4 linked regions of the Alligator mississippiensis genome follow. The protein of the gene in region 1 purifies or fractionates together with the protein of each later gene. This does not show direct contact. Links are inferred from orthologs where the notes say so. Each region holds a gene or a part of one and is shown in the gene's direction. Other genes may lie near its edges.

The links.
Region 2: the proteins of STX6 (region 1) and VAMP3 purify together in Homo sapiens (affinity purification with mass spectrometry; 5 studies listed by BioGRID and IntAct, counting the BioPlex papers as one, with this or other methods). This does not show direct contact. The link is inferred for Alligator mississippiensis from reciprocal best matches to the Homo sapiens genes STX6 and VAMP3.
Region 3: the proteins of STX6 (region 1) and STX7 purify together in Homo sapiens (affinity purification with mass spectrometry; 3 studies listed by BioGRID and IntAct, counting the BioPlex papers as one, with this or other methods). This does not show direct contact. The link is inferred for Alligator mississippiensis from reciprocal best matches to the Homo sapiens genes STX6 and STX7.
Region 4: the proteins of STX6 (region 1) and VTI1B purify together in Homo sapiens (affinity purification with mass spectrometry; 3 studies listed by BioGRID and IntAct, counting the BioPlex papers as one, with this or other methods). This does not show direct contact. The link is inferred for Alligator mississippiensis from reciprocal best matches to the Homo sapiens genes STX6 and VTI1B.

Annotation. Positions count from the first base shown.
Region 1 is NC_081828.1:52,539,748-52,546,989, reverse strand, and holds the start of STX6 (syntaxin-6), read left to right. Parts: upstream 1-4,144; 5' UTR 4,145-4,218; coding exon 4,219-4,253; intron 4,254-6,039; coding exon 6,040-6,209; intron 6,210-7,150; coding exon 7,151-7,242. Other genes in the region: uncharacterized protein LOC132250811, read right to left, coding at 3,722-3,867. UniProt on the Homo sapiens protein: SNARE promoting movement of transport vesicles to target membranes. Targets endosomes to the trans-Golgi network, and may therefore function in retrograde trafficking.
Region 2 is NC_081836.1:20,082,034-20,089,916, forward strand, and holds the start of VAMP3 (vesicle-associated membrane protein 3), read left to right. Parts: upstream 1-4,731; 5' UTR 4,732-4,837; coding exon 4,838-4,839; intron 4,840-6,965; coding exon 6,966-7,047; intron 7,048-7,883. UniProt on the Homo sapiens protein: SNARE involved in vesicular transport from the late endosomes to the trans-Golgi network.
Region 3 is NC_081824.1:115,199,569-115,207,616, reverse strand, and holds the start of STX7 (syntaxin-7), read left to right. Parts: upstream 1-4,904; 5' UTR 4,905-5,033; exon of another isoform or gene 5,034-5,039; intron 5,040-7,959; 5' UTR 7,960-7,989; intron 7,990-8,048. UniProt on the Homo sapiens protein: May be involved in protein trafficking from the plasma membrane to the early endosome (EE) as well as in homotypic fusion of endocytic organelles. Mediates the endocytic trafficking from early endosomes to late endosomes and lysosomes.
Region 4 is NC_081825.1:230,760,294-230,767,915, forward strand, and holds the start of VTI1B (vesicle transport through interaction with t-SNAREs homolog 1B), read left to right. Parts: upstream 1-4,608; 5' UTR 4,609-4,703; coding exon 4,704-4,818; intron 4,819-7,622. UniProt on the Homo sapiens protein: V-SNARE that mediates vesicle transport pathways through interactions with t-SNAREs on the target membrane. These interactions are proposed to mediate aspects of the specificity of vesicle trafficking and to promote fusion of the lipid bilayers.

The DNA of each region.
Region 1 (7,242 bases):
TATCTAGCTGGGGTCATCTAGACCCAGCACTCTTTCCTGCTTATGCAGGGGGTCAGACTCGATGATCTAATGAGGTCCCTTCCGACCCTAACATCTATGAATCTATGAAATTTTCAGGATTTCAAAATATTCTGGGTTTTTCTGTTCTGCATAGAAGTGAAACCAAGGCCCTCTACCATTTCTTGAGGAGAAAAAGATAAAGACCTTCACACACCACAGAAGAGTCAGTCTCTCACATTCCAGGCAAGTATTCTAATGACTGGACTATGGGGACTGTTTCTGGCTCCCACAGGAGAGATTTAGATTTTAGAGAAAGTGGTTGGGGGTACTAACCTAGGGTGAAGGGGAGTAGAAGAGCAGGGACCTGAAGATGGGGCTCCTACATTCCAGAAGAGGATCCTGCTCAGAAGGCGATGGCTCTTCTGGGATGACAGGTACATGCATGTGTGTACAGGCACAGTAAGAACTCTTTCTTGATGAACATTTTGTCAAAACTGGTATGGCTTCAACAAATCAAATATTTTTCACTGAATAGTTCCCAGTGGGCTCTACAGTGGGATGCAGCCTACAAAGACTCTCCTCTACCAGAAATTTTTGGCAGGCCAGGGGAGGAACATACTGGAGCAATCTGCAGCACTGCAAAGTGAAATCAAAACTTTCATTCAGGAACTGAGACAAGACCACACCCATCCTAGAAAGTCAAAAGAGCTTGGTTTTTTGATAGTGTGATATTTTGATTTTAAATATCATTTATATTAAATTAGCTTTCAGCTTAAAAAAAAAGAACCACCTCCTTGCTGTGAATTTTGAAAATTCTCAGCTATTCAATAGAGATCTTTGCAATTTTCCAACTTGTTTAAACTTTTTCCTAGAATGACTTGAGAAAAGAATTCTCTCTCAACTATAAAGTTATCCGGTAAAAAAAAATTACCAAACAAAACTTGTTACTTGCATATTCCCTGGACTACCATGACTGCCATGACTACAGTACCACTACAACTCTGCTAAAAAAAGGTTAATGTACTTTATTAAGGAACTTCTAATCTCCATAAATTACTATTACAAGCTACTATTTGAATTGACTTGTTCTCTGTTTAATTCACTCTTGATCCAGATAATGTTGAATGAGATCCCACACTTGAGTGAGATGAATTGCACTACTCCACAATACTGACAGCAAAGCACCATAAATCACTTTTGTTAGGACTTTTGCAGTTGCTTGAATAAGTCCAAATATGATAACCTTTAACAAGATGTTCTTAAAATACAGCATTTGTGTAGAAATACATTTACATGTCAGCAAACTGTCTTCGTAATTAACAAGTTCAAACTAAGCTGACTCACCAGCAAAATTTCTGAAGACACCAAACTGCTACTACCAGCCTAGAACTACCAACTGGCTACCACAAAAATGTGCAACAGGTCTCACTGATAAAGCTACTGATCTCTGCACTTCTGAACCAGTGTTTTCCTGGAAGGTAGCAAAATTACTCAGTACACAACTGCATGAACCAATTTATAGTATACAAATGAAATGCAACACATCGAGAAATTTTGCTTCTTCAGATCATGCTGGCACCTGAAAAACAGTTGGCACTTGAACATGGAAGTATTTAGTTACACCTGTTACCAAATAAAAGACATAGGAGCCTCTATTGTTGCTTCCAGAAAAGGAGAAGAGGAATGTGGAGTAACTGTTACTGGTTTTGTGCAGGTATTGCGGGAACATTTCAATTGAAATAAAGGCTTCATTCTCAGATGGAGAAACTGACTCCCAGCTGGGGAGAGCTTTTGTGCCAACAGTTTTCCCAGAAAGAAATGAAGAATGAGAAAGTGCTCAACAATTCAAAGCCACATATATCTCTTTCTCATGAAAAAGGTTAACTTTCTTCCTTCAACCAAAACTGTGGTCAGACCCCAGCAGACAGGTCTCCCTAGCCTTTCAGTACTTTTAAAGTAGAAGAGCAAAGGCCTAAAGTTACTGGAGGAACAGCCGGATGTAAGTAGGCAACAACACTGGTGTAGATGTACAGGTAGGGTGGCCATCATAGAGGACATTCCAGTTTTCTGCTACTCTGTTTTCTGCTACTTAGTCTAGACAACCGGACTGTCCTCTATGATGGCCACCCTACGTACAGATAGGGCAGAAAAGGTGGTGGAAACTACACAGGCAGTTGTCTTCACTGAAACTGGCAGCTGCTTGGGCAGGGAGATTGTAAAGGGAGGTAGAATTCAAACAGAATGGGACTGTGAAACTTTAAGGTGACAGGGGAGCCTGGAAAAGACGGGAATCAGTAGTAGTCTTTGGGACAGACCCCAGTGTTTTCTTTTGCAGGTTGGACGAGGACAGGAAGGGCAGAAGAGCCTGAGACAGGTTCCCCATTCTGCTTCCCTTGTGTCCCTTCCATTTGTCCTCTCAGACACCCTCTGTTTTCACAAAGAAGTGTCCTTCTTCTTGAGAGCGAAGAACTCTGGACAGAGCATGCCTCTCCATCTGCCTACGGATGACTCAAGCCATGGGAACATGCAACAAAGGACTCCGACGTGTGACTACATCATCCCAATTAAAGGGGGCGTTTTATTTAAAATCCAAAGCCTATCGTTAAAGAGGCTCTCTCACTGAATTTGATTCCCTGGTTTCGCAATCCGCAATGGCTTTTCCCTCAACATTCACGATTATCCTGTTCCAGATTGCAAAACTGCTCCACAGATTTCCCACGGCGAGCAAGTCGCCTTGCCAAACAGGCTTCCTACTTTAAAGCACTATCAGCTGGGACATCTGGCACGACAGAGCAAAAGTGCAGTCACATTATTTGGCCGGTTCAGGGGTCCCTGCCCAAGGTCTCAAATTGTGCCCCACATGCTTCACCCATACCCATGCATGCATCTGCTCCCTGCCCCCCTGCTCCCCCCACGAGAGTATCCTCCCTTCCTATCAGTGGCTCTCAACTGTATTTAGATTCAAGGTGCCCATCACTAGACTCAAGGCGGCTCTTGGAAAATGGCAGCTTGTTTTCTGTGTTTTCTGACAGAGGAAATAAAAGAACAGTATGAAGGGTCCCGCGGGCGCTGTGACTTGCTGGCCCTTAAGTGAGAGGAGATTTCCTTCTTCCTCAGGCCCCAGGCGGCCGGGAACAACACGTCACCTCACGGCACTCGAGTCTTAAATTATTGTATTGGAAGCTCAAAATTATCATATTTGCTGAAAAGCTGCCCTACACTGAAAAAATATGCAAATAAGTCTGCCAGTAAGTCTTATTTACCTTGTACTGCTCACTGTAACTTGCCAGTGAGCAAGTGAGAATTGGATCTTAAAGTTGATTCATTTCTTTCAAGGTCAGTAGGCATAGAAAAGCACTGACAGCAAACCCAAAACCTAGCTAAAGCCCTCTGGAAACAATTTGGGGTTTGCAAGTGATGCAGCAATCAGTTGCTTAAAAATTATGGTAGGTTTTGGGCAGACAAGGGTCCTTGGGTGAATTTGATATCTTTTATTAGACCAACTCAAATAGTTGGAGAATATGTATTAAGCAAGATTTTGGGTTCAAAAACCCTTTGTCAGGCTAAGGAAGTTTCAGCAGTTGGTGTGCGCTCTTCCTGGATGGAATGAAAAGTAAATGGTAGGTTTTGGGCACTTTTACTGTCATTGGCCGGACACCGTGCAAGGGTCGAAGTTATTGTACAAATCGGTAATGGTCGTACACCCGGGAACACCGCCTACCCTCCTGCTTCGCGGGACCGGAGGCCCCAAACTGGAACAGCTCCACCAGCCCAGCCAAGCCGCGCAGCCCGCCCGCCCGCGTCAACTTCCAACCACCGAGCGGCCGCGAAGTCTGTGATTGGCCGAGCCAGGCAGGGCGCGGGCATAGCCGTCACGGCGGAGAGGAAGGGGCTGCAGCGCCTGCGCAGTACTTCCGTCAGCAAGCACACGCGCACACCGCGTCCCCCGGCGGGGGCTGGGCTTGTACCTGTCACGTGACAGCAGCAGGCACAAGTGCACACCGCGCTCCCGCGGGGATTGACGGGGTTGTGCCTGTTACTGTCACGTGACGACAGGAACGGGCTCCCCTCCCCCCAGCGCCGGGGCGGGGCGGGGCGGGGCGGGGCGGTGCTCTTACGTCACGTGACTGCGGCCGGGGTGGGGCGGGTGGGGCTGGGCTTAGTCCGGCTGGGCGCGGAAGCCGGGGCTAGGTCCGGGTCGGGCCGCGCCGCGCCGCTATGTCCATGGAGGACCCGTTCTTCGTGGTGAAGGGGTGAGCGCGGCCGGGGCTGGAGGCCCCCGCGGGGGCGGGGCGGGCGCTCCCGGCTCAGGGCTGCCTGTGCGGGGCGGGGCCCGGGGGCGGCGGGCGAGGTTCCAGCGCCCCGCGGGCTACCGGGTGGGGGAGCCCGCAGCAGGGGCTGGGCGGGCCGTGAGCAGGTTACCGGCCCTGGCAGCGGCTGGAGCAGCTCCCACCCGGCCGCGCTCCCCGTGCCGGGCTGGAGCCGGCTCCATGGTGTCCCTGAGGGAGTGGGAGGGGCAGAGCGGGCCCAGGCAGCGAGTTTCCGTCCTCCGATGCTGCCTGGAAGGGGCTGGCCAGGAGCCGGCCTGCCGCGAGCTGGGGCAGGGCTGGACGGCCTGGTGAGGTCCTTCCAGCTCTTAATTTCCTAGGATCCTAAGAACAACCTTACTGTATTTTCTGCTCTCGTGTAGTTTGAGAAGCACCGACAAAGAGGAGGGAGGAAAGATAACATAGCACAGGAAACAAGACCTGCCCTTGACAGAAAACTGAGGGCTTCAGGCTGGGGTACCCCAAAGCGGGACACAGTCCTTCTAACTGGCCCACGTTCATCCCCTTCATGGCCACAAGCTGAGGACACAGCTGATCAACTCTAAGCTTTTATTAGTGAAGTCCAACCCCTATCTGTCAAAGAACAGAAGTCCCCACATCTTTGAACAGATCTGCACGTTATGTGCAACCCTTAAACGTGGGGCAAGCTTTTTACAGCTGATCATAAGACCTGAAAAGCTTGCTAACATGCCTCTTGTGTATAAGTGTTACATCCCAACTTTCCATTCATTTGAAAGGATATTCCCTGGGAATAAGACAGCAGTATTTACTTATGCAGATAATCATATGTTTATGGGTAGATATTTGCTATTTGCCCTCTGATCCCAGAGAATAACTATAATGTTCAGTGCTTTCAGCAGCATGCATTCTCATGCTAACATCTGAAACACTTTTCTATGACACTTGTTGGAGCAGTAAAGCAGTTGAGTTTATTAAGCAAACATAGCTCAATAAGTACTGTAAATTACAAAAAAGAAAAATGAAATAAGCAGATCCAAGCTGGACACAGTTGGTTCATGCAGAAATTCTGTAGGGACAGTTCCTGCAATTCTTATGGTCCATGATTAGGAAGTAGCAACATGTTGTAGTGGAGAATGTGCATAGGAAATTACAGTATGAAACATGCCAGGATTGCCCTCGTCCTTGTTGGTTCTGGAATGAAAGATGCTATAGAAATGCAAAATGTCTGTTTGTTAAAGAGTAGCATGGGTTCCTCCATCCACAGAAGAGTACTGAAAAAGCAGTGCAATTGTCTGGGAAATGTTAAAGTTCTCTTTTTAATAACAGCAATAGGTGAAAGAGGTAGATCCTTTCCATAACTGTCACTGTCTTTCTGTTATGAAATTCTGTCACAGTTTCTATTGGGGTAGAAGACAAGACAAGATACTGATTATCTAGTAACCAGTGTTTGTGGGGAATCCTGCCTTGAGCAAGGGATTGGACTAGATGACCCTTGAGGTCCCTTCTAGCCCAACTTTTCTCTGCTTATGTGATTAGTTTAAAGAGAAAATCAAGCAGGTTGAAGGGAGGATGCTTGAGAGGAGGTCATTAATGCAAATAACTTTAAAGCCAAAACAGTGAAAAACACCACTTGTCTACATGGAGAATCAGTCTGTTACAGCAGTAGTGGAATGATTCTGTTAGAGCTGTACTACAATGTTTTTCTGTGTAGTTGAGTCATTAGTATTTTTGTTAATCATCTTGATTTCAGGGAGGTCCAAAAAGCAGTGAATACTGCTCAGGGGTTGTTTCAGAGATGGACGGAGCTCCTGCAAGACCCTTCTATAGCCACAAGAGAAGAAATTGACTGGACAACTAATGAGCTCAGGAACAACCTGCGGAGCATTGAATGGGACCTGGAAGACTTGGATGAAACTATTAATATCCTTTATATGGACCTGTTACAGTTTAGATACAGCCTTGTGTTATTTCTACCTGAAGGATGAGGCTGGCTTTTAAAGAGTAATTCAGTTTCTTGGAAAATATGCGTTGTATGCTATAAAGTTCTTTCAGAAGCTGCTGTTTTCATAAGATATCATTGTATGGTTTAGACCAGAATTATTCAACCTATAGATTGTGACCCAAAATAATATATGAAGGGGTTTCAAACAAAAATGGATCAACAAACTTTAAAAATGGATTATCCTTTAAAGGAGAACAACTTGGGAAATGGTGACTTTTCCCTTGCAAGCTGGCAGAGTTCCAGCCTGTGAGGGGCTGCATGGGCCCTCCCCTGCCCCACACACTGGGGGCTGGAACGGCAGGGCATTCGGTCAGGATTGAGGGGCACTGGGTTGGGACTGGCCATCAATGTTTACAAATGGATCCTAATGCAAAAAAGGTTCAGAACCACTGGTTTAGACAGTGGAGTCAGTGACATGCCAGCTTTTCCTCAAAGTAACCTTTTTTTTTTATATGTCCTCTCTCCTTCTTGATCAGTAACATATAGTTAAAAGTAAGATGCCCTGTTCTAAAAGGTTCCTTCTGTGGGATGAATTTTAACTGGAGGCAGTCAGTCCTCTGTTACACTGAGCTCCAGAAAAGAGAGTTGAAAAAGGATTAAAATTAACAATTTCTGATAGTGCTATGCTGTGCCAGTCAGGCAAGCCAAAAAATTCCAGCGGGCTCTTTACATTGGTACACAATGGCAGGATGCAAGGACTGTTAAGCATCAGATGCATGATTTTCCTAACTAACCAAATCTTGGTCCAGTTAACTTTATTAATTATAGCACTTAGGTAGTAGTATCCTTTCAGGTAGCCAGGATATTTGCCTGAATGCTGACTACTGGTTCAGTAGTGTTTCCTTGACTTGTCATTAACGCATTGTTGAAGCAAATCCTCGGAAATTCAACCTTGATGCAACAGAGCTGGGTATAAGGAAAGCTTTCATCACAAGCACACGGCAGGTGGTC
Region 2 (7,883 bases), on another chromosome or scaffold:
ACTAAATGGCAAAAAAGAGCTACTGTATTTAGACTTAGGAAAAAAGGCAGAGTAACATTACTAAAAAAGGATATGTTTACATTTGATTTTGGCTACCAGGAGTTTATTTTATTTTATTTTAATTTTCTTTCTTTCTGTATTTCTTTTGCCAATGGTGCCAAGTAATGTGAATGCTAATATTGCTTAAAAAAATTAAGTTACTTTCGCAAAGCAGATAATCATAAGAATACAAAATCGTATCTAGCTTAACACCATACACTCACTCCAATAAAGAACACTTAGAATGAACATAAACTGAAAAAAAAGAAATAGTATGAAAGTAGAAAATATGTTTCACATTTTCATATCTCCTGCTGGAAGTCAGAAAATGTAATAAAAATTGCACAAAAATAAAAAAAAATAAAAATAAGTAAAAACTTAAAAGATGCAAACTGATCTTGTAGGGGTGTCATGGTATATTGCTATTTCCACATAGTGAGGAGCCAAAGAAATCAGATATTTTAAAAAGTGAAATACTAATGTAAAACTGTCGTAAAGTTTAAACAGGATGGGCAAGATTCTGATCTTAATTGCACTGGGACGTATCAGGAGTAATACCCCTGAAATTGGCACAGTTACTCTGGGTTTACACAGGTGTAGCTAACATCAGAAACTGCTCCTGTGTGTTTATTTTGCTAGTGCCAGTTTAAAATTTCCAAATGATTGGTGTAAATTTTAGATGGTTAGTTTTAGAATAGTTGTTCTTACTTGATCCAGGCCACCAACTGAAATATGTAATTGCAAGGCTTGTTGTGAAGCCTAAAAATATCACAGATTATAAACTTTTAAACTGGTGTCTTTAAAAGAAAAGTAAAGACAAAGGTTGTGGCAAAAAAACTGGGGTCAGTGCTCTTGGTGCCTTTTCTATAATTGTACCTGTTTTTAATTACTTCTTTTCACTGCCAGCATTGAATTACAGTGTATGTGCTATAGCTCATGATCAGAACACTCTGTACATTTGTGAACTGCTGCTTTATGATCTGATTCAATAAGAGAAATTGTCTGGCTGCCACATTGTGGCTGTGGCAGCCTTTTAACTTCAATTTATTTTATTGAATTGGAATACACATTATGTATTCCACACACAAAAAATGGGAACAGGAAATGGAAAAAAGAAACTCCTTCTGGAATGCTCTGTATTAGTACTGGAAGAACTCTGACACTTTGAATGTGTTTGTCCCATTTGCCAGTATTATGGCACATATAATTGATCTTTTCCTAACAAGAAAGAGTAATGACCTCAGTGGCAGTATTTAACCCCTTGCGTTTGTACTGAGAAACCGTGTCTACACGAGATGATTTAATGTGCAACAGGCTAATCTACCGTGCAGTAAAGCGTCACCGCTTACTGTGAAGTAAATTAGTTTACCGCGCTGTAAATTTACTGCACAGAATAGCCAAATAGCATTAACTGCACATGTAGACATGCCGACAGAGTCAGTAATATACAGAGCTATTTCAAATCCATGGGCCTTGTGATGTATCTACTGACAGAGGCCCTGCTTCAGCCAAACACATAAGTACGTGCTTAATATCAAGCATGTAAGCAATTCTGTTAGCTTCCATAGGAGTATTCACATGCTTAAAGTTAAGTATATCCTTAAGTGCTTTGCCGTGTCAGGTCATAAGTCTTCAGTGTATCAGTGACCACTGGTGAGTTAAATACACTGTCCCACTGAAGTGAAGTGATTCTATTCACCCTTTTCTTGATTGTGGAACTCATATTTTAATAGATGATAGTGCAGCTTTCTGGGAAAATCAGGATTCCCAAGTGCCAGGAGCAGGATCTTCTGTCTCCTGCAAGTGGAATTGCTCCTTCATGTAACACATCTGAAAACAGTAATACTGTGTGAAAGAAATACAGAATATAACATGAACCCCCTCTATGGTTGCACGCTTACAGCAGTTCCACACAGTAGTTGGCGCCCGATGGGGAGTCCCCAAAACTTGCATGTAAAACTAGTATAGATGTCTCTCTTTTGTAAGTTTTATTTTTGTAACTGTGCATGTAAAGCATCACTGAATCAATGGATCTGTTGAAGAACTCAGCTGCTGGAACCATGCAAAATGTTTTGAATTGCCCTTAAAATATGGAAAATGTTTTCTGAATGCTTTATATTCTTTCTGCTGTAAATTAAAAACAAAGAAAATTTCCCCATACTAAGTGTGTGTTTTTTAACCTTCCATTTTAACCAAGGAGCTGCATCTTCCTTGAGTAACTATAGTTAGCCTTTTAAAAAGCAAGTCTGTCACATGACCTATTTGCAAACATCACTCAGGTTCTTGACTGGCTGGATTTCAAACGCAGCTGTCTTTTTTGATTTTTTTTTTAAACTATCATAGACCCAAATCCTGCTGTGTAGTGGATATGCAGGTTTGACTGCACTGAGTGGGTCCAAGCACTCACATCTGAGAGAATGTGATCCTTAAAATCTCTTGATCTGTCTTTCTTCTGGATTGTAATGTGTACCCTCCATCCGGTATGTAGACCAGCACATTTCAGGACACTTCTTAAGTATTAAACTTACTGGACTTTCAACTGGCTTCTGATGCCCCCAAGAGTTCCAGGTAATTACTCAGAAGTGCACTGCCTGCCACATCTTTCTAAGATCTCAGGTCAGCCCAAAGATGCTCAGCCTGGTGTTGGGCACTGCCATAAAAGATTCAGGGAGAATGCATGGTCCTCACACCTCACTTCCTAGTTAGGCAGTAGTGGGACAGGCTGGATAAGGCTCCTTCCTCCATTTTTTGGTTCCCTTTGCTATGGGGTAAAAGTTTGTCTTTTGACTGTTAAATCAGCTTTTACAGCAGAAAGGAAATGGGTTTTGCCGTCCTGGACGCTGGTCTCCCTTTCTGTATGTGTCTCATGGCAACATTTAGCAACATGGCTACAACCCCTAGAAACCTCACTGTATTTAAAATATGTGGGGGCAAATTCATCCCTGCTGTAACTCCCCTGAAGCCAACAGTCAGGGGAGATAAATTCTGAGCCAGGCTCAGAGACTAGTGTCTGTCAGATACTAGAGATCATGATGCTGTATGAGATGGCAGAATAATTTCTAAGGAAAACAACTGAAAACTGATCAAATGTTGATGGGTTTGATCCATGCCTTCAGGGATGAATTTGGCCCAGTTTCCAGGCATGACAGTCACTGTCTCTCCAGACTGAGATGTGCTACTCACAGTGTGCACTTTCCAATGCAAACCAGGGTACAAGTGCTCATGTTTCTATTGCACAATATTAATGACACTTCCCTGCAGGAAGGAGCAACTGAACCCTACATCCAGGAAGATTATAGATGTATGAATGATGTTAACAGAATAAAATGGAACAGGAGGAGCTTAAGAAAGTATCAAGAAATATTTGACCAGCACTTAGATGGCTCCAGTCCTGATTAAGGCCTTTAGAATCTATTGTAATGGAAATATATAATAATAAAATATATATTTCATTTAGCAATTTTTAACTTTCTGCAAACAAAAGTCAGTACCTCTCCTATTGGAAATATTGGGAAATTACATTACATCAGACCTCAGTAATGGAAATAACCCTTTTTGCTTTTATAGCATAAATAATCCAGAAGGTGTGCTGGTCCTGAGTCAAATGATTCAAACATGCATATCTGGTCAAACCAGATTACACCTCGGCAGTCCCTGTGTCCTCACAGACTATGCAGAGATCCCAGACAACTAAGCCTGCCAAGGTAGATTGTTGTACCGGGCCAAGACACTGCGATTTCAGGTTTCCCTACACTTAAATGTAGACAGCTGCAAGACCACATTGGATGACCCCTTGGTGCTTCTACATGTGCACTTCACCGCAGAGCTAACTAATTAGTTCTGCAGTAAAGCATCACCATCTACCTGTGCTCCTCTTATTAGAGTGCAGTAAACTAATTAACTCTGCTGTAGGGTAGTACTGTCTGAGACAAATACTATCCTACAGTGGAGTAGTTGCATATGCCAGAACACACATGTAGATGGTGGCCTGGGCTGGCTGAGGCACGAGGGTGCTACAGTGCAGAGGCTGCCTGCCAGCTAGCCCCACACAGTAACACAAAAGTGCTGGAGTTCACACCCCCCCACCCAAGCTGGCACCGTCATCACTATCCTGCCTTCTACTTGACTTCAGACTAACACGGCAGTGTCTCGCCAGCCATTACTGACAGGACAAGCCCTCAGCTAGGTAGGGGGAGGGGGTGCAGGCTCCCTACAGACCCGAGGCACTTTTGAACCTTTCACCTCACTAACATCCAGGTGGGGCTGCGCCCGGCAACCGACCCTCGCGCCCTCGGCGGACAGGCGGGGTGTGCCGGATGGGGGTGCGAGTCTCCTCCTGAGCCAGGCCCAGCCGCTACGGGCGCGCTGGAGCCCAGGCCCTTCAGCCGGGACGAGCACGTCGGCTGCCGGGTTCTGGCCCCCGCTCCGTGCCGCGCCGGCCGGCTGGGCCGCCCGCTCTGCAGCAAGGGTGACGGCGGGGCGGCTGCCCACACGGACATGGCCCGCGCGCCGCGGCACGGCAGGCTCGGGTCGCCCCAGGTAGCGCGGGCGGCGCCGGACTGACTGCGAGCTCAGCCTTGCTGCTCCCCCTCCGGCCCGGCCCCCCCCGGCCCGCGACCCCGCCCCGGGCGACGGCGGCCCAGGCCAGGCCCCTCCCACAGGCCGTGGCGTGGGCTGAAGAGGCTCCTCCCCAGACGTCATATCCTGCCGTTGCCCAGCCTGCGCACTGCTTCCGGCTTGGTGCTGCTCCCTGGGCCGCCCGTGAGGTTAGCAGGAGGCCGCTCGCCCGCCCGCCAGCATGTGAGTCCGGGGCAGGGGAGGAGCCGTGGGGACCCGGCTTGGTCGTTGCGTGTCCTGGGCCGGGAGCTGGCGCTGTCCTTGGGTTTCTTCTGGGCGGGCGGGCGGGCTGGGGGGCGGCACTAGGCCCTGCCTGTCGCGCTCCTTGGGGCCTGGTGGGGGCTGATAGCGACGTCCCCGCGACCGAACTCTGGGTTGGGCGGGGCGGGGCGGGGCGGGGCGGGGCGCGGAGCCGCTCGTCCCTTCCCGTGACGCCCGCCCGCCCGCAAGAGGCTCCTCGAGACTGGCTGGTCCTGAGGGGCCGGGCCCGGAGCTGGGGGCGGCGAGCGTGGGCCTCGGCCGCGGTGGCTCCTTGCGTGTAAGAGCGTTGCCAGGGGCTCTCGCACCCGCCCGAAGTGCCCCGAGCTCAGCGGGAGCCACGGCAGCCTTCTTTCTGTTTAAGAGGCGTCCAGTTTGCGTGAAAGATTTAAGGTGCTGGGGCTAATCTTCCATACTCAAAAAGGTGGCACCAGTCCTGTCAGTGCTGGGATCCAGCTCTCCGGGAGGATTCCCCTAGAGATCTGACAAGGGGCCTGAGCCTTCCCCTTTCCTTCCACGCACAGCCCAGTGGGAATTCACTTCTAAGTCGGGGGTAGTTCAGTCGCTTCTAACTGCAGATATTGCTTTCAAGACTCCTAGAAAAAGTTAATTGCTTGAGTACTGCCACCTGTTGATATTGGCTAAGGGGAATGTAATGGTGTGCTTGGATCCGGAACAGAGGAAACCAGAATACTAAGCACAGTGCACTCTATACACCTGCTCCAGGGGTGGGGGGAGTTTAATTAGAGGGGCTCTAATTAAAGTACCTGAAGGGTCTGGTGTATCAGCATCCCTGTGCTTCAAAATGGCAGTGGGGTGTGTTTGAAAATAAAGTGCCCTTACCACTATTTTGAAGTGCTGGGACATGATATACCAGATGCAAGCTGGCTGTTGGAGTGTGGTAATTAGCACTCCAGATTCCATTAGTGGAGTTTGCTACACTGTAATTGCAGAATGTCAGAGCAGCCTCTGCACTGAAGTATAGGCACCTGGTGTTCATAAAAGAGGTATAAAAGTTGAGCAGATGAGTGAAGAACTTCCCCTAACTTAGGAAGGATATGAGAGAGAGAGAGGAAATGCCTGCTGTGTTTTATAAACTTTCAAGTTTTAAAGTTGTAGAAGGAAATAACACAGTCACTTGCTACCTGAGGCTCTGGGGAAAAAACTGGGTTCAGAGAAGCTTTGTAACTGTTTATGAAGCTTCTTGTCTTCTGAAATATCTAGCACTGAATACTGAATTGGCTTTCTTTTCCTAGTGACCTAGGAAAATTATTAAATAGCAGGAGATGCTGCATGGACATAATTACTTGAAACCATCTCTTTTTCCACAAGTTGATCTGAATTTCTGTTGACAGCTATTGAACTTCCAAGTTCAAATAATAAAATGTGCCTGAATTCATGTGCCCTTATTTCAAAAGGGAGAAAAATATTGATGGGTTGCAGTTCTTGGCATTTGATAGCAATGTGAGCTATTGTTTATCTCTTATTTCTTTCTTGGCTGTTGTATTAGTTTGCCTCTGCTTGCCCTCTGCTGCTTCTACAGCCATGCACTAGTGATAAAGACTTAGGAACTCTGCCCGTAGCTAACTTCACTTCTTTGCTGCTTAAAGACTACTAACTTATGAGAGACTGTGGTCTGAGGGAATGTCTGTATTGCCTCTAGGCTGCTATTGAGGCTGCTATTGCCAGGGTTTACTTACTGGCCATCGGTTTCTATTTCTCTCACTCCAGAACTGGAGCTGAAGCAAGGAAGCTCAGGTGTGCCTTACCCTGCTGCTTTCTGGTTCTTTGTTTTTTGGGATGCTTGAAAGTGGCAGGAAGGCTACCCACAATCCCTGCTTTAGAGCAGGTGGATGAGGCTTTATTCTTGTGGGCAGTTGCAAGAATCCCACTGAAGGACTGTGGCAATAACTGCATTTCTGTCTCTTCATCCTACTGAGAATGGGGACTGGTTGCTGAGCCATTTTCTGTGACTTGCATACAAAATCTGTCTGGAAGTCTTGTGTCCCAGTTAGGGATGCAGTATAAAATAACTACAACTATCTCTGCAGGTCGGCAAGTGGCACTGGAAGCTCAAGCGCTGCCTCTGGCAGTAATCGTCGTCTTCAGCAAACACAGCATCAAGTAGATGAGGTACAGTCTTCACCTGCACTTCTCCTGGTCTGCTGACATCAGGAGACCCCAGGGGAGGTGGTGGGTGGAGGGAGATGCAGCTAAAATGTAATGTGGTCAAAATTAAATTTGTCTGCCTGGGTATGTTAACGAAGGGTCAGCATCTCTTCATGTTTGTTCTTGCCCTTAGTCTCATGTACTGTTTCTTCATTTGTTGCAAGCAACTTGTTCCTATATTTCCTATATTAGTAAGTGACCCTTGGTTCACTTGCTCTGTGCACTAACTCTGCGAGACTTGGACATTAAAAAGACATTGGTGAGCTTGGCTTCTGAGAGAGGATGAGTCTCCCCTTTCAGGAGCTGAAAAGACATTGAAACTTGTAGTTATTGTAATTACCTGACTCCAAGATGAATCTGAATTTAAGATTACTACTCTTTTTACCCCCTCCCCCCCCCCCCTTATAATTCAGGGGTTGACAACTTTTGGGCAGAGTGCCAGAAACACCCCCAACTTTGACTTGTACGTTGTTGTAGCAGTGCAGCCCTGGGCCCTTCCCCACCATCCACCCCATGGTATGAGTGTCAAGCAAAATACCTTCACGTGCCACACTCTGGCACCCGTGCTGGGGGTTGCCTACCGCTGACCTAGATTCTATATGGACACTTTTTATAAATTGGTTTAATCGTCTATGTATAGACTCTAGTTATTGGAGGGTCATCTTAAATTTGTGTTTAACCCCCTACCACTCCTACCTCTGTGGTGTTGCCAGGCAGTGGGGGAATCAAGTGGTTTAAACCCTTGTCCCCTTCTGTCTATCTCTGTCCTACCTAACCCCATCCTTCCAGTTCCTGTCTTG
Region 3 (8,048 bases), on another chromosome or scaffold:
CCCTTATCTTGCAAGCTAATCTAGATGTCAGAGCATTTGCTAGCAAGAGGGAGACCAGGGTTATATAACCCTGCCAGCCTGAGGGGTTTCAAACACACAGTTCCCACTTCTCGGGTAAGTTCTAGGTAATAGGAAACTCTTCATCCATCCTGTTAAAGCTAACCTAAGCCTAGGACTGTGCACATGTTATACATAAGCAGTGAATGGTTAAAACAAAGAAATAACCCTGGGAACAGGGATGGGAACCCAGGCCCACATCTCAGAGTAGTGCCCTAGAAATTAAGCTACAGAGGCACATTCAGTTGTGCTGACTCTCCTTCTGGCTCCAAGAGTTTTGCAGTCTTAGCTGTGCAGTAGCCTAGCTTTGACAGGAGGGATGGGAGGTGTACCTACATAGATAATTCCACACTCTGATGATTAGGGTAGTTTCTGGGGAGGTCAGAGGTAGGTGTTTGGGTCCCTTTAGGTTGACAACAGCCTGGAACCAAAGTTCCCCACTTCTAACTACTAGGGCGACTGGGGAAAAGTTGGGCCTAGTCTCTACTGGTGTTTTCATGCTGCACTCATTGCCATCAGTATAAGTTAGAGATGCCACAATTTTGACTAGAAGATTAGGAACTTCGGCATTGCCCTAAAACCACTCTTGATTGGAAGGAGGGACTGGACAGGAGGAGACTTAGATGAACAAGTGATCAACTTGAATCACGTCTGTGCATATTCAAACACCAAGTGCAGGCAAAGTACCCAAGAAATTTTGGAGTCCAAAATGGAGTCCAAGTGCCATCTGAATGTGGGCACCTACTGAACTCTGGGGCTGCTGGAACAGAGCCAATAGAAATCAGTATTTGGAACATGGGCACCTAAATTCCAGGTAAGTCCCATTGAGGTGCTTATGTAACCAAGAAGGAGCCGGTTCTTAGCTCTGTTAATGCATTTTTCTAGTGGTAACATTTCCCACATATCTTTATAACAGGCAAGCGAAAATTAAAAATGTGTTTCTATTTGATTTCCACAGAAAACATGGCTATTTAAAAACTTACTTAATTGGCCATTGACTTGGAGTTGTGTGCTTATGTGATTTTTTTAAATACACATATTTTAGTTATACCTTATTGAAATAGTAATGACTGAAGAGTTGAGATTTAAGATTGTTTTCAGAAATAAAATCACTGGATAAGATACTGCATGGACACCATGGATGCAAAGTGAGCATACAATGTGTACTATTGATGGTACTACCAACCACTTCTGTGGAAATAGTGAGGTCTTGGCTAGAAGGCTTAGCTCAGTATGTGTGTGAAGCATGCCTCAGCTATTAGAATTGTGGCATTATTGCTTACTGAAGAAGGCAGGGTAGAGATGCACCTTACAGATTAACTGAATCAGAGATGCATAAGCTTTCATAGTAAGAGCCAACTTTATCAGATGCTAAGAAAGGGCATGCAGAGAGCAGGCTACCAAATAAATCAGAATGCTGAAGCCCTGGCCTGTGGGCTGGATCTGGTCCATAGGACTCTGCCTGGGTTTGAAAATCTGGTGGCAGGGGAGTGGTGGCAGCTAATTGCTCCTCCTCTGTTGTCATATTTCTAGACCCAGGGGGAGCCCTATGGGCTGGACAGCATGACCCTGTGTACTAGACTGAGTGCATGAGGCTGAGTGGGATGTCCCAGGGTAGCATGGCACATGGCTGAGTGGGATGGCATAGGGCTGAGCAGGGCAGCATAAAGTTGATCAGGGTAGCACGGATCTGAGCAAGATGGTGCAAATCTGAGCGAGGTGGCAGAGATCTGGCAGAGGCAGCACAGACCCCAGTTTGGCCCACAGACCAGCCCTGCAACACTTACCTAGCCCATGGGGCCAAAAGATTGAGCAATACCAGCACTGCGTGATTTTGATGCAAAAGACAGGGAAGGAAGGGAGGCTGGAGACTGTAGGGGAAAGGGGCAGTGCTCAGAGGGGCAAACAAATAATGCACTTGTATGGATGAAGGGGTCACTAAAGCTAATCCAGGTAATGGGATAAGGATCCCTGTTTAGACTATGCTTCACACAAGCCAGTCTGAGGAACTTGTTCCACAATTTTTTGTTCAAGTTGGCATTTAAAATTCTACTAAGACAGGGGTGGGCAATTATTTGGGCTGGAGGGCCACTTAAGGAGTTTTGGTGAGATGTGGAGGGCCAGAGGAGAGGAGGGGGGTAGTGCTGACCTGGCCTCTGCCCCCCCGTTACAGCTGTTTACACTGCCTGGCAGGGTGCATGGGGTGGGGTGGGGGGCTGGGAAGATGCTAACTGATCCTGTCTGACCCGAGGCCCATCGGCCCCGCATCCACAACCAGGGGCACTGGACAGAACAGGCTGGCAGGGTCTCCATAAAGACTGACCAAGGACCCCTGGGGGCAGGGTGTGCTTGGCCAGGCAGATGGAATAGGGCCGTGAGTAGGCAGGGAGCAGTGCCTGTTGCAGGGACATGTGAGGAGCAGATCATGGCTCTGCCTTGGGCCCTGGCCCCACTCTATCACTGCCCTGTGAACCCAGCCCTGGCCCCAGCTACCCATTCTACTCCCAGACTCTGCTCCCGACCTGCCCATGACCCCATCCCATTCACTTGGCTGAGCTTGGCTGAGCTTGCCCAGTTTGCGGGGGCCCTGAGCCAAACTCCATGGAGACCTTGCCCACTTGCTTGCCCATTCTGATCAGTAGGTGCAGGGTGGATGGGCCAGGGTGCCTGGGCAGCAGGACTGGGTCCAGTAGTGGTGGTGGAAACACTGGCAGTGGCAGCTGGAAGCGTGAGGGCAGAGCGAACTGCCATCATGGGGACTGCCGGGAAGCAGAGTCAGGCCACCATGCTGCCACAGCTGCTACCCCATTGCCGTGCCACCCAGCCCCCAGACTACAGCTTCTGGTGTGCCCAAGAGCTGCATTTAGGGATAGGGCAGGTTGTACCTTATGCCGGGTGGCACCTCTGCACCCAGGGTGGCAGGACCAGCTGCATGCATTGTCTGCAGTGCCTAGGCTACCTCCTGACCCTGGGCCAGGTGGGGCCAAGGGACCTGCCATGAGGATCACCCTGTCCAGCAGCAGATGTAGTGGGGGTGCAGTGGTGCAGTTGCACCCCTCCTTGATTCCTGCTGTACCCAAACTTAAAAACCAACCTACTGGTTCCATTTCTAATCAGGCAACACTGAGGGAGTCAATTTACTTCACGGCTTACTAAAATCTACCTGATTCCTGCTAATGTCTCTTCATTCCATAGGGGTTAACGACCCTCTCTACATTTTAATGTCTTTGATGTTCCACTATTCAAACCGTCTTTCTGCAAGTTTGCTGTCTGCCAGCCATTCCTGGTAATATCTCTCTTCTATTTCAAAGCCCAGCAGACTGTTTTCTAGCTCCAGCTAAAAACCTTAACTCAGGTGTAGTAATATTAATTCAGTGTAGAAACAACTGACAGTGAAGTATTGGAGGCACTCTCAAAACTCTCAGGAAGAGCAGATTTTGTTTTACCAATTTGAATAAGAGATGTACATTTAACAATGATGACTGGAGGACTAATGGCACAGTATCTTGACTATTTTGACCATTTTTGTCTAGTTTCTTGTGTTTTTTAAACTTAATTTAGAATCTAGCAAATGAGGGAACATGCTAATAAAGTTAGATTTGTTTTTGCTTTGATCTTAAACTGAATAATATAGCACGAGGCCTCTAGCGTATTAGTAAAGCTTCCAGTTCCTCTTTTAACTGGGACAAAAAAGTGTCATCTGTGGTGATGCACCATATCAGTTGCACAGCCCTTTTCAAAACCCATGGCTGCAAGACAACCCCTTGGTGGCCACATGTGGCCTCCAGGCCACCCATTGAACAGCCCTTTATCAGGGGACAGACATAGGTGATGTTAATGACTCTTTTAACTGGAGGAAAAGATGTGTAGTGTCTTATGTGATAAAGTGCCACATCATCCATACCCTGCTTTGCACTGTCCTAGAGCAGCCCTACCGTCCAATGGAAGTGGCAGCATTTTGAGTCAGGCAGCACTGAGGGACTTGCTTGACGTTGTGGCTCATTGTCCCTGATCCTTCCTAAGCCCTTCATGTGACGGGTGAACAACCTTCCCATCTTTTTTCATGCTCTGGAGGCTCCAGCCAGCAACCTAGCCTTTCTTCTGCTTTCTTTTCACCCTGCTGTCCATTAGGGCACTGGTTCTCAACCTTTTGTTTGTACCAGGACCCATTTGTAAACAGCAATGGCCAGTCTAGGTCCAGGGCCCTGCACTCCTGACCTGCTCCCCCAGTGTGTGTGGGTGGGTGAGGCATGGGGGAGGAGGGAGGGGGCAAGCAGCCCCTTGTAGGCTGCACCTCTGCCAGCCTGCAAGGGAAAACACCCGGTTTCCAACATTTTCCTCCTTTAAAGGCCAATCCCTTTTTCAAGTTTGTTCAAGTCCACCCACTTCTGGGTCGCGACCCACACATTGGGGAACGCCGCTTTAGGGGCTTCTGCAGCGGCCGACGGGTTTTTAACACGCTCTAAAAGGGGCCTTATTTGTTTTTTTGCCTCCTGCTGCAGCTGAAGAAGGCAGCGCTGCGGCCCCAGCCTAGTGGGAAAGCCTCTCCTTTCCATTTGAACGGGGGAGTGAGCAGGTGCAGTGCCAGGATCACAGGCTCACAGAAGAGGAGGGCTGCAACAGACCTCAGGAGGGCATCGAGCCCAACCCCTCAAAGCAGCACCAGCCCCAACAACTAGCTCGTCACAGGATGCGCCACCCTTCCCAAAACCCAGGACTGGCCCGAGCCCGGCACAGCCGCCCCCAGTGCGGGCGGGGCGGGGCGGGGCGGGGCGAGGCGGGGAGGTCGCTGCAGGCACCGCCCCACAGCCGGCTGGGGCGGGCAGGACCGCCGCGCTCCGCTCCGCCCCGCTCCGCCCCGCCCCGCCCGCTGACACTGCAGCAGCTGGCAGCGCCTGCTGGGCCGGGCCGGGCCGGGCAGGTCTGGGGTCGTGAGCTGCCGGGGCAGCAGGACCAGCAGCGGAGGTGACGCCGGGGTGAGGGTAAGAGGCGTTGGGAGTGGGGCGTGCAGGGGCCACCGCCCTGGGCCGGGCCGGGCTAGGCGGTGCAGTGCAATGCGGGGCGGGGCAGCCCTCTGGCCCCCCGCGCTGGGGGTCCCGGGCCGGGCGGGCTCCTGGCCCCGCGGCGCGGCGGGAGAGGCAGCGCCGCGCCCCGCTCCGCTCCGCTCCGGCCTCGGCCCGGCCCCGCCGCCAAGGGGGAAGCAGCCCGCCGAGGCCCGGGCGAGGGTGTGTGTGGGTGTCTGTGTGTCTGTACGTGTATACACAGCTATGTGCAATCAGGACTCGTAGTAAGAGATTATATATTTTATTAGACCAACAAGATTTTTTTTGCAAAAAAAATTACACAGCTGTGTAATACGTGTACATTCTCTGTATATGTGGGTGGGTGGATATGTACACACCCCCACACATGCGTATGTATATATGTGTGCGTGTTTACCTATAGCAGCAGTTCCCAACCCCAGGCCACGACCCAAATGAGGGTCATGGGCAATGCTGGTAGCACTGCACAGAAAAGATGAGCCGCCGCACCGTGTGCCAGGGGCTCCCTGGGCCACCACATGCCGCTCCCAGCAGCGGGGCATGGCGGGGAAAAAAAGGTTGGGAACCGCTGACCTATTCAATGTGTCTATACGCTATCTATCTAGCTCTAAACAGTGTGGATGCATACTGTATATGTATGGATATACACATACCTACATAATGTGCCTATGCTGTACCTACCTACCTATCCATCTCTATCACTAATATATATATATATATATATATATATATATATATATATATATATATATATATAGTGTAATGTTGGGGGGGTGTATATGTATATATGTGTGTATACACACTTTAATAATGTGTATACACTATATCTGTCTAGCCATCAATCTAAAGTATGCAGTGTGGGTGCATATATGTATAGATGTGTGTGCATGTGTGTTGTAGATCATATATAATGCATGTAGGTATATATACAGCGTATATGCCTATGCACACATGCTCGTGCATGCACAAATGTATATACTGTACATACATTATATAGGTGTGTATACACATGTGCACACATATATAGTGTACATACATTGTATGGGCCTGTATACACATGCATGTGCACACATAGTGTATGTAGACTTTATATGTAGTGGGTATGTATATGTCTGTGTATGTGTGTGTACACATCTGTATCATATACATTATATGTAATATGTGTACGCACACATGCACAGATGTACATGCACATATGGCCTCTTTTCCTGATGCTGATCTCAGAGGCCAGCTGAAGGCTTCCAGAGTTGGAAGGGATCTCAAGGGTCTTGTGCCCTAAACCCCATACACATATACTACTCATGTGTAAATAATCAGCCATGTTTAAACTCACCTTCCCTGCTCTTATCTAGCTTGATGCCTCATGTAAAAAATAATCCTGTGGTCCTATGTGAGATGCAGAAGTGTATGTAGGTCTTGCTTACGATGAGAAGTTGTAAAGTCTACTTGGATTTACCTTGTTTCTAACAGCGATTCTCAGCCACAGAGCCACGGCATCATGGGGTTCCTTGAGATCCTTTCAGGGGGGCCATGGGGTACCATGCAGTTTCAGTGCTATTAGGTTTACAGATGTGACTCATGAAATAAACCCAGAAGTTTCAAATAGAAATGCATTGTTGCGGTTTTTCTGAGTTCTTGGAAAAAGAATTGCTCTATCATTTTTCTGTAGTCAGAAAAATGAAGCTGGCATTTTCTGAAGGGTTGAGTCTCTCCAGGGTTGCTTTGAGTCTAAAAAGGTTGAGAACCACTCTTCTAATGCCATGACCTCCAAATGATAGTTTAAATGACCTTTTTCTTGCCCCCAAATTCAAGGGACTTTCCTTTTGAAGAATCTGAAGTCAAGTTTTACTTATGTGGTTTAGGACAACTTTAGCATTCAGTAGTAGAGGGGGAGGGAATCGGTCGGCCTTGAAAATGGGCATCATCTCTGTGCCATAATTTGTTCTTTATATGCAACAAGACTGTTGTTTCAGTCTTGGACTACTTCTAAGGAAAATATGGACAGAGATTCAAGTATGGACAACTGCAGTAATCATGTGTGTGTATATGACAATGGAACTTAACTTTCCATGTAAATTATATGGATTTTTCACGTTCCTGGTACAGTGCTACTGGGGCCTTTGCTGTTGAAAAGCTTCTACACTTCTCTTTCTCAGCCTGAGAACAAGACAGTTCACAAGTCTAGAAACAAAAGTGGGAGTGATATGTCTGGCTCTATTGTCTATTCTGTGTGAAATGTAAACACTGGATTCTTAGTTAAGGTTTTATCAGAAGAAATTTAGAGCACTTAGTCCCAGAATGGATACATTTTTGTGTCATGTTAGCTTCAGGGATAATTAATTATATGTATAATGGAAAATAGTTGGAGGAAAAAATAATCTAGAAACAACAGGCAAGAAAGTTGAGGTGCCTATATCAATTGGGTCAGTGACTACTGACTAATGCATTTATTAATTATATGTTCTTGAGGCAGAAAAATATTTACATCAGGGCAGGAGGCTTTTTATATAAATGCTGCAAACAAATAGGGGAGAAGCATTAAAAGTCCCTTAAACTGAAACTAGTATGAGGATTCCTAAATTCTTTAGTAAAGCTTCCCTGTAAGGTTACATGTCTCCAGTACACACAATGAAAACTATATCCTTCTGTAAGGGGATATGTTACTTAAGTTTTACATATTTGACTTTTTTTAGAATGCATGCCAACAAAACAAACTTAACTTGAAGGGAAGCTCTTAAGGAACATAGCTAATTGTATTTTATTGTAGTAGTTCCCAAAAAGCCTGTTTGAGATTAGGAAATAGATTTGTGAGAACTGTGGCAAATTCTGTACTAACACATGCACCAATGTCATTTTTCAGTACCTGTGATCTAAGAAGCCGAGGCCTAAGGTAAACTGAGCTGTCTTATTTCTTAATTACATCTTCTCCTGTACCCTTAGAATTTTCTT
Region 4 (7,622 bases), on another chromosome or scaffold:
CTGCACTTGGGCAGTAAGAACCAGCAGCATACATACAGGCTGGGGAACTCCCTTCTTGAAAGCACAGTGGCAGAAAGAGATCTTGGAGTCATTATTGATTCCAAAATGAACGTGGGCCGCCAATGTGAGGACACAGTCAGGAAGGCCAACCACACCTTGTCATGCATCCACAGGTGCATCACAAGCAGGGCCAAGGAGATGATCCTCCCCCTCTATGCGACACTGGTCAGGCCACAGTCAGAGTACTGCGTCCAGTTCTGTGCGCCGCACTTCAGGAGAGATGTGGCCAGCATCGAGAGGGTCCAGCGGAGGGCCACTCACATGATCAGGGGACAGCAGGGCAGACCCTACGAGGAGAGGCTACAGGACCTGAACCTGTTCAGCCTTCACAAGAGAAGGCTGAGAGGGGATCTAGTGGCCATCTAGAAACTTACCAGGGAGGACCAGAGGTGAATCTGAGAGACCCTGTTCCCCTGAGCGCTGCCCTGAATAACAAGGAATAACAGCCATAAGTTGACAGAGAGTAGGTTCAGGCTAGACATGAGGAGGCGCTACTTCACAGTCAGGGCGGCCAAGATCTGGAACCAGCTTCCAAGGGAAGTGGTGCTGGCTCCTATGTTAGGGGTTTTTAGAAGGAGGCTTGATAACTACCTAGCTGGGGTCATATGAGCTTAAACTTAGTAGGGGTCATATGAGCCCAGTATTCATTCCTGCCCAGGGCAGGGTGTCGGATTTGATGATCTGCTCAGGTCCCCTCTGACCCTTCATCTGTGAATCTATGAATCCCATTAGGACCTTAGGTAAGCCCAGTATAGATACCAACCCACCAACTGTTTTTGCTGACCTAGTAATGGGGCACCTGGAGGGGTTGAATGTATTTAAGTCAACAGGTCCTGATGATCTTCGTCCTAGAGTACTTAGGGAATTAACTGGAGTCATAGTGGAGCCGCTGGCACAACTGTTTGAGCATCCTCGTCCTAGAGGATTGGAAAAGGACCAATGTGGTCCCTATTTTCAAGAAGGGGAGGAAGGATGAACCGGGTAACTATAAGCCAGTTAGTCTTACCTCTATCTTTGGCAAGACCTTTGAGAAAATTGTTAAGGATAACATTTGTGGGGGACCAGTGGGTAAAATGATGCTAAGGGGCAATCAGTATGTGTTCATAGCAGGCAGATCCTGCCTGACTTAACCTGGTTTCATTTTATGACCAGGTCACAAAATGCTTGAATGGAGGAGTAGAAGTAGATGTTATTTACTTAGATTTTAAAAAGGCCTTTGACATAGTGTCCCACCCAATTCCTATTAATAAACTAAACAGTTGCAATATAGATTATTACAGGGTCCGGCAGGTAGAAACACCCAGAGAGTGGTGGTAGGTGGGTCAGTTTCTACCTGGAGAAATGTAGGTAGTGGAGTCCCCTAAGGCTCTGTCCTGGGACCACTCCTATTCAATTATCTTCATTGGTGACTTGGACGAGGGAGTAGAAAGCACCCTGTCCAAGCTTGCTGATGACACCGAACTATGGGGGGATTCATAGATTCGTAGATGTTAGGGTCAGAAGGGACCTCAATAGATCATCGAGTCTGATCCCCTGCGTAGGCAGGAGAGTGCTAGGTCTAGATGACCCCAGCTAGATGCATATCCAACCTCCTCTTGAAGACCCCCAGGGTAGGGGAGAGCACCACCTCCCTTGGGAGCCCGTTTCAGACCTTGGCCACTCGAACTGTGAAGAAGTTCTTCCTAATGTCCAGTCTAAATCTGCTCTCTGCTAGCTTGTGGCCATTATTTCTTGTAACCCCCGGGGGTGCCTTGGTGAATAAAACCTCACCAATTCCCTTCTGTGCCCCCGTGATGAACTTATAGGCAGCCACAAGGTCGCCTCTCAACCTTCTCTTGCGGAGGCTGAAAAGGTCCAGGTTCTCTAGTCTCTCATCGTAGGGCTTGGTCTGCAAGCCCTTAACCATATGAGTGGCCCTTCTCTGGACCCTCTCCAGGTTATCTGCATCTCTCTTGAAGTGCGGTGCCCAGAATTGCATGCAGTACTCCAACTGCGATCTGACCAGCGCCCAATAGAGGGGAAGTATCACCTCTTGGATCTATTCGTCATGCATCTGCTGATGCACGATAAAGTGCCATTGGCTTTTCTGATGGCTTCGTCACACTGCCGACTCATGTTCATCTTGGAGTCCACTAGGACTCCAAGATCCCTTTCCTCTTCCGTGCCACCCAGCAGGTCATTCCCTAGGCAGTAGGTATGCTGGACATTTTTCCTCCCTAGGTGCAGCACTTTGCATTTCTCCTTGTTGAACTGCATTCTGTTGTTTTCTGCCCACTTGTCCAACCCGTCCAGGTCTGCTTGCAGCTGTTCCCTGCCCTCTGGCATGTCCACTTCTCCCCATAGCTTTGTGTCATCTGCAAACTTGGACAGAGTACACTTCACTCCCTCGTCCAAGTTGCTGATGAAGACATTAAAGAGTATTGGTCCAAGGACCGAGCCCTGCAGGACCCCACTGCCCACACCCTTCCAGGTCGACGCCGACCCATCCACCACGACTCTCTGGGTGTGACCCTCTAGCCAATTCACCACCCACCGGACTGTGTAGTCATCCAAGTCACAGCCTCTTAACTTGTTCACCAGTATGGGGTGAGATACCATATTGAAGGCCTTCCTGAAGTCTAAGTATACGACATCCACCCCTCCTCCTGTGTCCAGGCGTTTCGTAACCTGGTCATAAAAAGAGACTAGATTAGTCAGGCAGGATCTACCTGCTACGAACCTGTGCTGGTTTCCCCTCAGCATAATTTGTCCTGCCAGGCTCTCGCAAATGTGAGCCTTGATAATTTTTTCAAAGATTTTGCCAAGGATGGAGGTGAGACTGACTGGCCGATAGTTGCCCGGGTCCTCCTTCCTCCCCTTCTTGAAAATGGGGATCACATTGGCCCTTTTCCAGTCCTTCGGGACTTGGCCCGTGCGCCACGAGCTTTCAAATATTCCCGCCATTGGCTGTGCAATGATGTCGGCCAGTGCCTTCAGCACCCTCGGATGGAGCTCATCCGGGCCTACTGACTTAAAGGCATCCAGTTCTTCCAAGTGACTCTGCACCATCTCAGGGTCTACGCACGGTAGTCTGGCGCCTTGCTGCTGCCTCTCTACAACCCCAGTGAGAGACTTGTCGTGCCCCTCACTTAGGAACACTGAGGCAAAGAACTCGTTGAGGAGTTCAGCCTTGTCCCCTCTGTCCGTCACCAATTGTTTCTGCCCATTTAGCAGGGGTCCTATTCCACCCTGGGCCTTCCTTTTACTCCCTATATATCTAAAAAACAATTTCTTGTTGTCCTTTACTTGGGATGCCATCCTCAGCTCCATGGTAGCTTTGGCCCGTCTAACTGCCTCCCTACAAGCACGAGCAGAGGAGGTATACTCATCTTTGGTGATCTCTCCCTGTTTCCACTTTTTATGTGCTCCCCTTTTGGCCCTTAGGCTGCCCTGGATTTCTGTGGTCAGCCAAGGAAGCCTCCTGGCCCCTTTCCCTCTTTTTCCTCCCATCGGGATCATCTCCCTCTGTGCCTGATGTACACAAACTACACGGCACAAAGTGAATCCAGGCTGATTTGGACAGGCTGGGGAAATGGACCGAACAGAATAGGATGCAGTTTAACAAGGATAAGTGTCAGTAACACAACTGCAGAAAGGGATCGCGGAGTCTTAGTCGACTCCAAAATGAACATGAGTCACCAGTGTGATGAGATAGTTAAGTAAAGCTAACCGCACCCTGTCTTGCATAAGTAGGTGCATCACAAACAGGTTTAGGGAGGTGATACTTCCCCTCTATGCAGCACTGGTCAGGCCACAGCTGGAGTACTGCATCCAGTTTTGGGCACCACACTTCAGGAAGGATGCGGATGGCCTGGAGAGGGCTCAGAGGAGGGCCACTCATCTGGTTAAAGGCCTACAGAAAACCCCCTAAGTGGACTGACTGGGAGAACTGAACCTCTTCAGCCTCCGTAAGAGGAGGCTGAGAGGTAATTGCATGGGCGCCTACAAACTCATTGGGGGGGGGGGTTAGCAAGAAATAGGGGATACAATGTTTACCAGTGCGGCTGTCAGGGTAAGTAGAAATAATGGCCACAAACTGGAAGACAGCAAATTCAGATTGGACATCAGGAAATAAAACCTTTATAGTGAGGGTTGCCAAAATACAGAATAAGCTCCAAGAGAGGTGGTGCTGTTCCTTTCCCTGGAGGTGCTTAAAAGGAGATTGGACACCTGGCTGGAGTCATCTGAGCGCATCCGCATAGAACCACGCCGCCGTCCGCACTAGCCCGGCACTCCCGTGACCGCCTTATGACTGTCCCTACGCCGGCCTACAATTCCCAGCATGCCCTGCGCGCCCCGGGGTCCTGATGATGCCCTCTAAGGTGACGTAAGTGCGCGCTTGATTCGTTAGTCACCGTTGGGAGCAAAGTTGGACCTCCCGAATATCTCCCCCCGACTCTTCCTCGACAGGCAGCTGGAGCCTGCCTTCAGCTTGCTCCGGACGGAGCTTTTTTTTTTTTTCCTTCTTTTTTTTTTTCTGATCAGGCGCCAATTAGGGCACCCCCTTCGCGAGACAGAGGGAGGCCCCCTCTCACACATCCCGGAAGTAGCGGCGCGGAGCGGGCGGCAGGGTCTGGGCAGGGGCTGCCTCTGTCATCGCCGTCATGGCAGTGCGGGGCCCGGGCTCCTCCGAGCACCTGGAGCGGCTGCACGAGATCTTCCGGGAGCTGCACGGGCAGCTGCGCGTCCTCCCCGAGCGCCTACGGGGCGGCCTGGCCGGTGAGTGAGTGCGGCCCGGGTCGGGGGAGCTGCCGGCCCGGCCCCGGCCCCTTCCACTTCCACTGTGCCGCTGGATCCGGGCCGGGTACTGCCCCGGCACTGCCCATCGGGGTGCCCGCCACAGCGTCCGAGCACCTCTCAGTGTAGCCGCGTGTGTAGGGTGCCAGTGCCACCCCTCCAGGATTGCCTTGGATCCCAGGGATTATCTGTGAATCTCCAGGAGACTGCTGGGAGTCACCCAGGGGGTAAATGATGGGGCACTCTTTAAAATAAATGTTAAATACAGTAGTCCAGTGCGCTTTTAAAATGTAACAGTAATGTGCATTTGCCTTGCTGATGTAAATCTGCACGCTGTAATTAAAGTCCTTATGTGAAACCTCACGGAATATATTCAAACAGATTGGTGACCCTGTGGGTGTGCAGGCATTACTGTATTTGTGCCATCATTTCAACCCTCGTATGATATACACTCAACAGTAGTAAAAGTGTTCAAAATGTCCAATAACTTTTGAGGCAGCTCATTGAGGCAGCATATGCAAAACCCAAGGCGCTCTTGGGAAGTTTTTTGTTAATATTGTTCGTGTTCCAGGTCAAACTAGCCAAATCCTATCAATTGAGCCAGAACTCAATCGTTTCAAAGCCCGCGTCGACTGAGCTGGCAGAACTCGATCATTCTGAACACCGTGTGTGGCGCTAGAACCCGTGAGCGTCCTCTGTCCCAGGCTGTCTCCTGAGGACTTCAGATACTCCCAAGTCCATTGGCAGTAGGGGTGCAACGATAAAGATTTTTTTGGCTGATACTGATGATCAATTGTTAACCAGCTATATTGGCTGATGCAGATCTGATTGCTGACATGCAGCCTAGCAGTTTGGGGAGCATGGTCCAGCTGGTAAGTCTGTGGGGTGGAAGGGGAGGGGGAGGGAAGGGGCATGGCGGGGGTAGATCAAGGCCCCCTTGGTGAGGGAGGGAGTGGGGCAGGAGCAGGCACTGCCCAGCTGGGGTGGGATGTGGGACGGAGGCGCAGCGAGGGGGGGCAGCTCCCGCCACTGTGCGCAAATCTGTGGGAGGCATGGAGGCCATGTGTACCTTGGATTTCTGCACGGGACAGGGAGGGCTGCCCACTGTGGGCTGGGGCCAGGGCCTGCGCCAGCCTCTTCCTGGCGGGAGAGCTGGGCCGGGGCTGTGCTCAGGGCAGGCAGGGCTGGGGTGGGTGGCAGTGGCCCTGGGAGTGGGAGGCTATGGAGTGGCTACAGCTAATTTTGGGGTGGCTGTAGCTTTCCCTGTAGCCCCTGCCCCCAGTGCTGCTGTTGCCTGTCCTGCCCCCACCCACCCCACGTACAGCCCCAGTCCCACCTAGCCCCCCACCAGGAAGAGGCTGGTGCAGCCCCTGGCCCTGAGCCCGCAGTGAACAGCCCGCTGCATGCAGAAATCTGGGGGACGCATGCCCCCATGTCTCCCCCAGAGGTGTGCACAGCATCAGGGAGCTGTGTCGTGTCCGTCCCCCCCCCCCCCCCCGGACTAGCCACCTGCAGCTCCATCCCACTTCTTGCCCTGTCCTGACTGGGCAGCCCCTGACCCAGCCCTACTCCCTCCCTCACTGTGGGGGCCTCGATCTGCAGCCCTATGCCCCTGCCTTTCCCTACCACAGACTTATTGCCTGGATGCTGCTCTCCAAGCTGCCAGGCTGCATTCCTGGCCACATGCATGCTGTGCCTGCGCAGATCCATGCAGCATTTATTGGTGACATTATTGGCTACACTAGCCAAAAAAAGCTGATTGCTGATAATGTCAGTTTTCTTCTTATCGGTGCCAGTCCGATATGAACCAGTCGGTGCACCTCTAATTGGCAAGCATCCTACGTGCAGGCTTAAGCCCGGAAGTCTTGGAATTTGGATTCCCTCTACATTTTGGGCTTGTTACAGGACTTTCTTATGGCTGCTTGCCTTAAAATAAAGAAATGTTTTGAGTTTGACCCAGTTCTTACTTGCTCACTGGCAACTTACAGTAAGTAAGAAGATGACTTATTTGCATACTTAGTTGCATATTTTTTCAGTGTACGATAGTTTTTCAGCAAATATAATAATTTTGAGCTTCCAATATAATAATTTGTATTTAAGACCTGGCAATCCTTGCACCACTGCTCTAAACTACTTTTCTTTCCTGTATGAGACCTGCGCTGCTCAGGGAAACTGGCTCATGAGAAATGGGCTCAATAGCAGTATCCAGTGCAGGAAGCGATGCTGGCAAGAGGATGCTTTTCCTTGTATGTCTTTGTTTTAATGGGAGGCTGGTGCTAGTGGTAGGTAAAGCACCCCTCCCTCCCGGCAGCTGGTCTCCCTGTAAGTCCCACGATGAGCTTATCGTGTATTTCAAGAACTGAAAAAAGGAAGGAGCCAGAGGAAGGGATTTCTACCAGTGTGGACGAATCTCCTCGCAGTCAGCATGTTCTCTTGTTGCATGGCCTGACACGTAGTTGCCTCCTGCCTGTCTGGCCAGCTTTGTTTCTCCACTAGAGGAGTGGCTAGGGCAAACCAGCAATGTACAGTATTGTTCTATGGGAGTATAGCCTTGTGACCACCAGGGCTGACTTTCTGTAACTCTGTGAACTGAGAAGTGAAACCTAAGAAAAGGCTATGGCTTGTTTAGAATCCAGCAGATTGTAGGCTTGGTAACACAGAATTGTTCCTTTCACATAACTAGCTCTCAGCCAATTGGTCAAGTTCAGGGTTTTAGTCATTGTCTTTGAAGCTGTCCATAAAACTGGCCCAGGAAGGACTGTATCATCTAGCATAATCCTGATCTT